Drosophila melanogaster: one gene and its partners. The protein of the gene in region 3 interacts with the protein of the main gene of each other region in a pairwise test. Each region holds a gene or a part of one and is shown on either strand. Other genes may lie near its edges.

Region 1 (4,690 bases), on a different chromosome or scaffold from region 3:
CTGTTCCCTTTTTCTTCTAAGTTACTTTGATGGGCTTTCTTTTCGAAAATACCTTTGAACGATTTGGATTGCGATGGATCGGCACGCCTCTTAACAGCTAAATCTATTTCTTAAGTGTTTGTATGTTTAAGTTGGATTAGATCGTACCCATGTATTTGAAAGTGCCACACATGGTGCGCGTGTTTGCCCCCAGTTTGAGCCACTTGCTAAGGCCGAAGTCGGTTAGCTTTATGTGAAACTGTTCAGTTAGCAGGATGTTCTCCGGCTTCGCATCACGATATATAATCCCAGCGTTGTGGAGAAAATCTAAAAAGAGCGTACGTGAGATATTGGTTTGCTGGCCTAAGACCTCTTTTACTCACCCAAGGCAAGTGCTATCTCGCCAATGTATAAACGAACCAGATCAATGGAGAAGTGAGTTATTTTTGAGAACAACTCGCCGTTGGGTACGTACTCCGATACTGCAGTGGATTAGAGTATTTAGTATACACATAAAATCGTTAGTATAGTTTTATCTCAACGCACGAATATGGAGGTTGTGGCGGTTTTGCCACAGATCTATTTGCTTCACGATAAACGGATGATGGCCGCAAACCTTCTGAATGTCCGCCTCGTCCTTTATCTGCCGTACACTGTTGTCTTCGATGAGCTGTATAAAAAAAGTAGGGGAGTTATTTTATCTCTGCCAGTATCCGAACCGAATGCTTAACAACCTTTGATTTCTTTAGCACTTTCAGGGCGTAGCACTGACTAATGTCACTCTTGCTGGACACCTTGAAGACCACGCCAAAGGCTCCCTTGGCCACCAAATGATCGATACGGTACAGATCGTTCTTGCTGGTCTCCTTAAAGTGCGAGTTGAAGATTGAGTTGGTCAGAGGTCGGTGCCACTGAGTCTTGCCACGACGAGAGCCATGAAGTGAGGTCAAGCTGCAAGCAAGAGTTGGCATATTATTTACGGAAACTTAAGGGGCGATCAATGCGATTCTACCTCTTTCGCGTGGCCTTGTTTCGATGACGAAATGAGTTGCGGGCACCGGAGAAGCTCCAGTTGAGTCGTCCTCCGCTAAGGCTGCCAAGACTCCAGGTGGAAAGCTGTTGCTGAAACAAGACAGACCATTAGGTTTTGGTGTTCAGTACACAATTCTCGCCCTTCACTGCTATCTATCCCATGTATATGTACATATGTAAGTTAATTTTATATTGAACACGCGGCGGACTGCCTGTATACTGAATGACCAGTGCTGAAGCCAACAAAACGGCCTGAAACGGGCTCAGCGGATTTATTACGGCTTACCTGCGTTGTTTTCAACGCTTATCCCAGCCCTTTCCACCGGAAAAATAAGCTAATGAATTCCCAGAACACTTTCTAGCAATCTATGAATTTCTACGGAGGCGTAGGAGACGGTTTTGCGATGTTCCCTTGGCGACGACACGTGCGTTATGGGCCTCTGAATATTTGCAAACAAACAACGCCACCGATGATCGAACAGCTGGGAACGGAACGCAGAAGAGAGCGAGAGAGCAAATCGACTATACAGTGGTGTCCACCGAGAGTGATCATATGTTTTCAATGTTCTCAATCACTATGACACATTCTTGGTAAAAAGTTAGTTTTTTTTCATTAAATTGCTGATTTTTAGTTTAAATAATAAGGCCATTTTTAGGCAAACCCGAGTAAAACAGTGAATTTAAATTGGTTTCGCTATTAGGTAACTTTCAAACCAAAAGTGTTGATTTAAACCATATTTTGAAAAATAATGGAGCTATGAGCTTTTTGTGTGCAAAAATTTTTTTATCTATTAATATAGATTGCTGACGTGAAAAATCTTTAATAAACTACTGCTGAGAACTAAATACGTTTTCGGCATGCGAAGTCTTATCTCATTTTCTAAACGCTTTTCCACAAGTCGTTCCCATATGCTAGCCCGCGTCTGTGGCCAGAGTTTCTTTGCTTGAGGGTCACCATTCCATTCCGTATGGCTACACACACGCGTATGGAGCATAATGTACAGATCTGTGGATCTGGATCTACGCGTGGGCTGTGCGATCCCCAGATTCATAAAGTGAAAACAGAGGGGGGAGCACGTGGACGGGTGGATTTGATAAGGGGGAGCCAGAATTTGCGCAGCGGGAGGCTCAATTGGCATGGCCATGAAAGTCGTATGCGAATGCGGAAATACTTGGGGCATTTGAAAAGTGCGGAAAAGAGCGCCCACACACGTGCTGCCTGTGGGGCGGCGCGAGGAAGAGTGGGTTTCGTGGGGGGTCAGGGGTCAAAAGCCGCAACGTAATTGAAAGGGGGAAAACGCGAACCCAGCACCCATTAATGTCATTAATGACGCAGTATTTATTCGCGCTGACGAGGGAAAACATGGCCAACAAAGTGTACATACATATGTGCATAAGTACGAATGTATGTTTATACGCGCATATATGGGTTGCCTTATCAGCCTGTCCTACACATATACTACAACGTCCACCCACCACCCACTTGCGACTTTTCTTACTCATTACCTGCTGTGATTGTACAGGCTGTTCCTCGTCGCCCGGAGGATGCGACTGTGTTGGCTGGTTGGTGTGGGCCTGGAACTGGATTCTCCTGCTGCTCGGTTGCTCCTGTTGCGGCTGTTGTTGCTGCTGCTGCTGCTCCTGATACAGCTCCTCCTGGTGGTAGTGGTGATCGCTGGCTGAGGCGCCTAGTTCCGCTGCGCCTTGTGGCCACTGGGATGTCCTTCTGCTTCTGCTTGCATTACGCGGTTGCGAGTTGCCCATCAAAAGCTCCACTCGTCCCAATCAATTCCCGTTGTTTCTGTTTCGGTTTCTGTTTCCTTGTCGTCCGCTTGTTGTTTACACACACACACCGCACACCACCACACTCCACTCGTTCCACTGGAATTGCGCAATCACTGTTCGTGTGCGTGCGCGTGAGGGGCAGCCAAAAAATCGCAGTAAAAAGCGCGCACTCGCAGTTGGGGTAGCTGAAATTCTAATATAAATATTTGGTAGCTAAGGCTGGCTCTATTTTGCTGTTTTTCAGTGTGTTGTTGTTGTTGTTGTTGTGCAGGTAGCAGTGTGACCAGACCAGACGTCGGCTAGCACCTAAGCGCGATTGTTCTCGGCTGTGCGAAGGGGCACACTGTGAATTAGTGGCGCGTAATGTCAGTGGATAAAACGTATTATGTATTCTAAGCTACCATTGTCAGTTCTGAGAATTTTCAATCTTCTACAAACTAATGTTAAGACATGCAAAAACTGTTTTTGTGAATGAACAAATAGTTAATAGTATTATTTGTATATTTGTATTAGTGTTAGTATATTGCTGTTTCTATTTTACATTTTATTTCCAGCATCACGAAAATGTTAATAAGCGATAGTTGCTATCGATAATGCCGGGCGATAGTTGGCGACCCCAAGTGTCACCAGTGAAACGCCAGTCCTATTTTTTTTACGAACGTAGCTCGAATAGTCAGGATAATTTGAATCTGGTTGTTTTTACTTCAAACATAGCTTAGGAAAGGGTGTGAAAAGCGTATACTGCGAGCCATGGACATCGATTTGAGTCTGGACGAGATTATAGAGCGGAAGCGCGGGCAACGCGGCTATCGTCCCCTCGACAGAAAGTTGTAAGTACATTTACAGGACAGCCGAAAAAATATAATGTCACTCAATGCGTTTTCCATTGCAGCAATGCGAACTTCTCCAAGCCGCGCCAGCTGCTGAACAAGCCTTTTTTCAAGCCATCGGGTGCACGAGGATCTCACTCTGATATGCCGGCAAAGCGCACCTTCGATGCCAGAAACACGATTGCCGCGAAGACACGGGCCAAGATAGCCGATGCTCGGGATCTGATCAACAAGAGCGTGCGCGACTCGGGCATCGATGCCCGCCAACTGTTGCTGGAGCGAAAGAAGGCCCGTTCGGCGGGCCCAATACTTATTGATGACGAAGAAGAGTCGTTTGAGCCATCACATCGCGCACGCGGAAAGGGAGTGCACATCGGTCAGTTTGGTCACCGCCTTAGCATGTCAAACCATGCGGACGGCACCATTCAGGCGAAATGGGACTCGGACGACGGGGTCGTTGAACTGGGTAACCACATGTTGTCCGGCTTGCGTCGAACCTTTGACCCCAGATCCCATAAGCCGGGCAAACCCTTTGCTCCACGACGCTATATTGATCTTGATAATATGCAGGACCTCGAGGATGGTTAGTTAGTGCCTTTCTCTGCCAAGCCGTTCCTAAAAAGCACTCTTCTACTTTCAGAGGAAATATCTCGCACACTGCACTTAGGGCAAATGAAGCAAGCGTCGCCACGCTACTCAATTGGTGGGCTCGACCTGAACCGCGGCGACGACGTGGAGATGTCCATGGCCCCACTAAATAACAAAATAGATAACAATGCATTCTCCATTTACGAGGCGGCCCGCAATCGCATTGAGCGTCCTTCGCTGACCAACCGACTCGTAGTTGGACGCTCAAATAGCACCAAGGAGCCTCTCGAGCGCCGCCACCGCGACACAGTAAGCACAAGTAAACTCCCAGAATCGCTGCGGTCTCGTCTGTTTGTCGGTAAGAGAGATCCTCACATTTCTCATGGCATCTACGCCAACGAGAACCGGAGAAAGGCTGTTGGTGGCGGTGGTGGTAGTGATAGCGATAGCGGTACTGATAGTGATGGTGATGCAGC
Region 2 (4,379 bases), about 17 Mb from region 3:
CAAGTGATTTGAACTCATGCTGTGCCGAATAATGCTCCTCTCATTTGGAAATTAAATAGCCGGGCTGATTGTTTTGAACCGCACCCAAATAACGGCCACGCTCATTGCTGCTCATTGTGATGCGAATGACGATGGCCAATGGTAAATGTCAATGATGAGCGGAGCATCCATGTCCATGTGTGTAGACAGAAAAATATTTAACGCGCGGTCGGGCAATAAAAGTCACCACGCACAATATGGCGCCCAGTCGCAATGCATATCCGCATACGCAACAGCATCCGCATCTGCATCCGAATCCGACGTTTGGCATTCAACTGATTTATGCGGCTGTCAACGCAGTGCTCCTATTCCTTGCCCCAAAAAGCCCCCCCAAAAAGGCATTCCGGCCAAAAGCGCATATGCGGGTCCTTAGTTGAGCCCCAGTTGATGTGGCTGATTGACAAACCGCGCCCGTTGAACAAATGAACCATTTGCCATGCGGTCCGTCGGTTGTGCAAATGGCAGTGCAACCTGTACGGTTAGCTTTATTGAAACTAATCAGAATTTCCTTTGATCTATGCTGGCTTTTAAAATTATAAGGTCTTTTATTACAAAATTTTAGAAATACGTTGTAAGTTGGCTTAACTATAACTTTTGCTATATATTATTAAAACTGATATCTTTCAAACTGATGGTAGTTTTGTACGGGCACTTTTCTTATATCTTATCTTCATTTCTGTCTGCATATCCATCAAAGTCGTTTGAGTGGAAACTGAGTGTAACTGACTTCCAGTTACACTCCTAGTGTCGTGCTCAGTGATTTTGGTATAGGATCGCGGAACGGAGTACAGGTATTTCAGCTGCTCCAAAGGAAGTCCGAGAACCCTGCCGATATATTCCTTGCCCACCATGCAGGAGCCACGAAGTGGAGAATCGCAACCACCGGTCTGCCGCTTTGAATGATGGTATTCAAAGACGATGCCCAAGTCGCAGTTCTTCGACTTGATGGTATTCCGCACATCAATTACACTAAATGTGAGTATGTTCTGAAAAACTCCCAACTCGATGGCCTCCTCTATGGCCGCATCAGTGACCAGGTAACAACCAAGGGAACAGTCCGAGCTCAGATCCCGCACATTTACGTGATAGACATTGTCTGCTCGCAGAAATATGGATATTACTATGTCTGTCAGGGAACGATCCCAAAGTGAGTCCAGCAGTTGCCTATAGAAGCTATCAAGTATTTTCAAACACTGCCCATGACAGAACTGACAGGTGCTCGAGGTCTTCTTGTCCAGCCTTTTGGCGCCATCCATTTTCTGAATGCACTCTTTGGCCAAATGCTGAACATTGGCATTGAGGCTATTCACCTGCGTGCGGATATCGCAGAGTTCCTGGCTGTGAAGGCCCTCCAAACGTCGATTCATCTCCTCCAATTGGTTGGATAAGTCGCATATAGCCGGGCAGTTGGAACATGGCGGTGGATTCTGCGAGCAATGGGGCTCCTCTGGTATATAGTAACAGCAAAATTGGTCTTCGCTCTTGCAGTCACAGGATTCGTGGGTATCGGAAGTGCAGATTGAATTTGGAAAAGTTTCTTCAATTTCCACTGTAGGCTGACCACGATTTGCTAAAGAATCTTTAGAGCTGTGAGACTTAATAAGGCGGTGACTCTTTGCTTGCTTCTTTGTGGATTTTCGAGAACTATTCGTGTGGTGTGCAGACTTCGACTTGGAGTGATCTGTGCTAACTATTTTGGAATTCTCAGATTGATCCTTCTTTAATTGTTTAATTCCTCCACCTGTGGGCACCACAATCAACGGTCTCATGCAAAATCGTGAAGCTGTTTGATTCCTGGACGACTCCTTCATCCGTTGAGGGGCTGGCTCTTTCGGCGTTTGAGCGGGACAAGATTTTGTAATATCCCTCTGTTGCTCTTGGCTATAGCAAACGTTGATGGAGGACAGGCTGGAATCATGGGACACCGTACATGAGGTGTCCCGGAAGTGCAGATCAAATGTGGGAATATCCTTGGCCGCGGGCTCTTCAAAGGACACACAGCTCTGACGCTGGTTCTCGTGTCCATCGCTGCGTGGGGACTTATTGGGTTCCGGTATGGAACAGCGGGTGATTTTCAGGCTTTTATCGGATGCACTTTTATTGCCCCGGCAGGAAGGTTCATCATTTGTGGCGCAATCAGTTGGCTTCGAGCAAGAAGGCTTACAGGTATCATTTTGCTGGTCGTGGCTTTGGTTGTGTTTATTTTTTTTCTCCTTTCCGGATTTATTGAATTTCGTACAGAATCCGCCAGCTGAGAGGCGGCTATGTGAGCCCTGCAATTTTAGAGTGGTCCTGGATTGAAATCTTCTATGCATGGAATTTTGCACACGGATGAGGGTTGCCATATACCGCTGATATACTCTATTGTATTCTAAATAAAAATTTTAATTTTATGTATTCATTATTAGCAAGCTTTACTCACCCGGATCTGAGCTAAACCTATATATTTTTTGTGAATTCCTCATAATTTGATCTTCTAAATTAAAGTCTGCATTTAGCGGCTGGTTCGAGTTCTGACTAAAATAATGAGCTCGTTTTTCCATCTTGCAACATTTTTATGCTTTGTACTTTTTGTATATAATTTTTGAGCCGAATATTAGAAATTAACACTAAAAGCTACGCCAACTAATAGGCATTTTTTTTACTAAAATATTTATATTCTATTTACTTACTGATTTATACATCAATAAATCGAAGCACAAACGGTTCTGGTTTGATATTCATAACTTTTATTATGGCTCACACACAATTGGCAAACGAAAGTTGGAAAATATTAAATCTTTGGCTAGGTATTATGGTTTAGATTTTACACCACTTTAGCTGAAATACATTTAATTTTATTGAATATAAATAACTTTTGTAAAATATGTGTTTGTTTTTCTCTCGTTTGCATAATATTTGTATTGTGGCAAAGTGTTTAAACTTATTTTTACATCTATATTTTATTCTGTATTTTTTAGCCCTGGAAATTTACACGTGGAATTGTTTTTATTGGCCTTTGACTATTAAAAAGAATTATGTGACATATAAAACTTTTAAATGCTGTCGTTAAGCTCCTTGATATTTATATTAATTGTTTGATGCGTTTAATGGTATTCCAAAACTTTATATATTTATGTAGTTTAGTTGAAAAGATTGTTAGTTATATCGAATGACGGAAGGCATTTGTTTGTATATACTAAACTAATGTACTTTTTTAGTTTTGGCAACTGTCTGATTATATCTTAAAGATTTGGCAACGAGATGCAAAGTTGCAGGGAAAACTTCCAATTCACGTTAAAATATATACTGGAATGTTGAGCAAAGCTTTAGTTTTGCATAATTTTGGGGAGCCAAGGCCAGCAAACCATTGATTATGTCTAACTGCTATGAGGATTTGTTTAAATACATATAAATATCCTATAAGTGATCCACTAATATCATTCAAATCGAAGCACTGAAAGCGTAATAGAAATTCTTACTAAACTTAACATTCTTTAAGGTTACATTAACGCACTGAACTTAAGAGTAAACCAAATTACTTAGACCGAGCAAATCAGACAGAAAAGTGTCGCCGTGTGGACACGCCTTATAGCTATACAAAGCACATGGGGTTTAAGGTCCTGGTTTCCGGTTCCGCTAGGTGCATCACCTGTCATCCTTCATCCGCCTGCAGATTCAGATTCATCCCAGGAACGGCCGCATCAGGACCATTAGTGTCATCACACCCAGTTCCACGCACATATTTCTGGTCTCCTTGACTCCCGAAGAGACTCGGGGCTCCAGCGAAAGTGTCTTGTACTTCTCCACCTTGGTGAAGTCACTGAATCCGGCCAGATTCCGTGATGCGGCCCGCACCAGGTAAACGGTATCTGGCTCTAAGTTCGTCAGAAGGAAGGTAGCCCCTAAAATTTATAGAATCCATGAGTTTACATATCGAATGTAGCAAGAGATAGCTTTTATCTATATTTTAAAGCTTAACTCACCCTCCTCGAAAGCATAATCCTTCCGCCTGGCATTGGTCCACTTGCCCGCATCCGTCTTGAACTCCATTTCGGTCATGTACTCGATGCGGAATCCATTGACCCCCATGGGACTGTCGGGAGGACCTCGTGGAGCACTCAGTACCACATCGAAGGTGTTTGAATTGAAGCCACGCAGCTGGAAGTTGGCCGGTGACGGAGGCTTCTCGCCCTGCTCCAGTCGCGTGGTCCTCTCGATGGTGCCCAGATCGTTCCTGGCGCGACACCTGTAGTTATCGAAGGCGCTGGTGTTCAGCACATGGATGGTCAGACTCGACCAGTAGCTGTCCGACTGGATCGTGTACAGTCTGTTGTTGCTGTGCAGCTTGTTGTGTTTGC
Region 3 (2,788 bases):
CATACTTTGTTCGGAATAAAATGTTACTCGTATATTAATATATATATATATTAATATATATATTCGTTGAACAGTATGTAACAGGCAGAAGGCGTTTCCGACCATATATTCTCGATCTGGATCTCTAGCCGAGTCGATCTAGAAATGTCCGTCTGACCGTATAAAAGTCATATCTCAGGAACGCAGCTTGCAGAGGCTGCGTGTTCCCACGCATCTTTTTAATTGGTTTTCAATATTGCAATGTCAAAGACATTCTGGTGAATATTAACATGCACATTTTTTAAAATATACATATTTTTCTAACGTGTATATATTTCCCTTTCCCACTTTTGAAAAAGGTGTTGATATTTTTTTAAATATAAAAAAAAATATAAAATAAAATAAAATATAAGTTATATTATATATAAATATAAAACTACCACGACCACAATTTTTCAAAATTTTCTTTGTCTTGTAAATTTCTATCCGCCCAAAACTGGAATAATAAGGCATACACATTTCAAAATTTATTTTATTAAATTATATCAACAATTTCTACGAAGTGCATGGGTTTACTTTAGTAGTATGGATTTCCATTGCCCCGCGACTGATAAGCTTGACCTTCTGGGCCGCCAAGGCCGGGCAATGTATTATAGTAGTCGCCTTGCCCACTGCTCCGCTGCTGTTCCATTGGAGAGCTAAAAAGAGCTACACGAATTCGAGGAATATATTGTATATATACATACTAAAGCCCGTTGCGAGAGTTCATCTCACGAAGCATTTTTGTGTATCGCAAGGGACTGCGATAGCCAGGACCACCAAGCGATGCAGATGCACCATTAAAATTTGAAGAACCTTGTCCGCAATTACTCTGCTGCTGGCTATATCCATGGCCACTGCTCGTTTGGTTGTACAGCATTTCAAAGCCCTTTAAAAGCAAAGATTGTTTGGGCACAACAAAAACTCTTGCTGTATACTTACCTCGCCACCTTGGCTATAACCATCGTATTGCATACCATTTCCGTATTCCATGACTGAAAATTTTGAAAAAAGATTTTACTTGACTTTCTTATAAAATTTTTACAATTTTTTTTTTTTTTGTTTTTTAGAGATGTTTACAGTCCGAAACCTGAAATGAAACTGGAAAAAACTGACAAAATGCCTGGGAGGTGTACAAAATCAAATGTCACTTCTATCATAGATAGTGTGATGAAAAAAAGGAATAAAATTTAAATTATTAAAATTTACATTTTTTTTTTTATTTGTAAAAGTAAAGTCGTATATTTCCACACACATATTACTTACCCTAAAAAGTATATACAATATATTCTGGAATAGGATCAATAGCCGAGTTAATCTAGGCATGTCCGTCTGTATGAATGTCGAGATCTCAAAGACTATGCAACTTATGGATTAAGAATGCAGATTCTGATAAAGCCTATGCTATGCAATATTGCTTTAGTTACTTATTTTATTATTTGTTTTGCTTTTCCTATGGATATGTCAAAAAGATTTGGGCCACGTTCATGCTATTACGGCCAAAATTTTGAAAAATGTTTGGATACTTTTCTATTCACTTTTAAACTTCCTCAGTTCTAAGATATGAACAAGAGAGAATGCTTTAGCAAAAGTGTCTTTAGTCTGGCTGTAACTTGTATTGTTAATAATGTGTTCATTTGTGTTCTCCAACTCTTGGAGCTTTTACATTTTTGGATAATATATTTTTATGTATTTCGATTATAGCTGTCTCTCTTGTTTTATTTATAGTTTCATCAAATAAAAATATAAGTTAGTCCGTTAGTCTTGATATCTTTTAATTTGGTAATGAAATACGTTAATATGACGTTCGGTTATATTGTATAATTGCAATCACCCATGGCACCGTCTGATGTCTGATGTCTGCTATATCGCATATCAATGGAAAATTTCAAAGAAAATAACAAAATAGAAAATATTATTATATAAACATTTTTTGGCATATTGCTAGAAATGTAAGGCCAATAGTAAGATACAGAGTGAATGCACTTTTCAAAGTTGTGAACATTACAGGTTTGTTGTAATCTTTTGGCTCTTTCTGGCCATTTTTTATAAGCGATCCGGATACCTTATCTAGACCATTGCAGCCAAAGTTCCTGCGGGGTAAGGACACGGATAAAGTCTGTAAAATCGCCATAATGGTAATCAAAGCAATGCAAGTCCGGACAATATGGCCTTCCCTCCCTAGGAAAAAGCAATGAATATGCAAACGGCACAGAGTGAGAACGTCGCCGAATAATTAAAATCGAGCTGGATACCGTTTTTAAGCCAGCGGGAGTGAGATCTTCTTTGGCCGGATTAGAGATACCGGCAAACACTTTACGGCGGACAATTAAGTGCGGCTCGTAATCGGTCTGTCGTAATTATAGCGACGCGCCGCGTATTTATCTAGAGCAATTAACGCCAAGCCGGGGAGGGCCAAGTCGTATATTTTACATCACCAAAGATGCGCAATTGGACCAGACGCTTTCTCAACTTTAATTAAAACTATATAAGGGCAAATACATTCAGCGAAAAAGAATATTACATGGCTTAATACAATGATTTAGGTGCCTGGATTTTGCACTACAATAATGATGTAGTTCTCGGAGGGCAGCACAATCACCTCGTGAACCTTGGTGCGCAGACGTATTGTCACCAGCTCATTGCTGGCATCCAAATTGGTAATCATTTTGGCCGCCTTATAAGTTAAGGTGCTGATCAAGGCCGCGTAATGCACGGTCAAGGTGTACTCCATGGTGGTCTTGATTGGTATAGCGAACGGGTCCAAAAT

Evidence for each region.
Region 1: the proteins of CG15219 (region 3) and S6KL interact in a two-hybrid assay, tested with the Drosophila melanogaster proteins (one large-scale study listed by BioGRID).
Region 2: the proteins of CG15219 (region 3) and CG15631 interact in a two-hybrid assay, tested with the Drosophila melanogaster proteins (one large-scale study listed by BioGRID).

Annotation. Positions count from the first base shown.
Region 1 is NC_004354.4:18,786,917-18,791,606, reverse strand, and holds the start of S6KL (S6 kinase like), read right to left. Parts: upstream 3,144-4,690; 5' UTR 2,776-3,143; coding exon 2,518-2,775; intron 1,446-2,517; exon of another isoform or gene 1,298-1,445; intron 1,102-1,297; coding exon 992-1,101; intron 931-991; coding exon 714-930; intron 650-713; coding exon 526-649; intron 462-525; coding exon 363-461; intron 307-362; coding exon 148-306; intron 1-147. Other genes in the region: CG6961 (uncharacterized protein), read left to right, coding at 3,547-3,626, 3,689-4,209, 4,267-4,690.
Region 2 is NT_033779.5:4,731,845-4,736,223, forward strand, and holds CG15631 (uncharacterized protein), read right to left. Parts: upstream 2,615-4,379; 5' UTR 2,583-2,614; coding exon 2,462-2,582; intron 2,411-2,461; coding exon 663-2,410; 3' UTR 569-662; downstream 1-568. Other genes in the region: fipi (factor of interpulse interval), read right to left, coding at 3,703-3,923, 4,005-4,379.
Region 3 is NT_033779.5:22,104,391-22,107,178, forward strand, and holds CG15219 (uncharacterized protein), read right to left. Parts: upstream 1,123-2,788; 5' UTR 1,012-1,122; coding exon 961-1,011; intron 908-960; coding exon 726-907; intron 678-725; coding exon of another isoform or gene 662-677; coding exon 535-661; 3' UTR 501-534; downstream 1-500. Other genes in the region: CG10834 (uncharacterized protein), read right to left, coding at 2,561-2,788.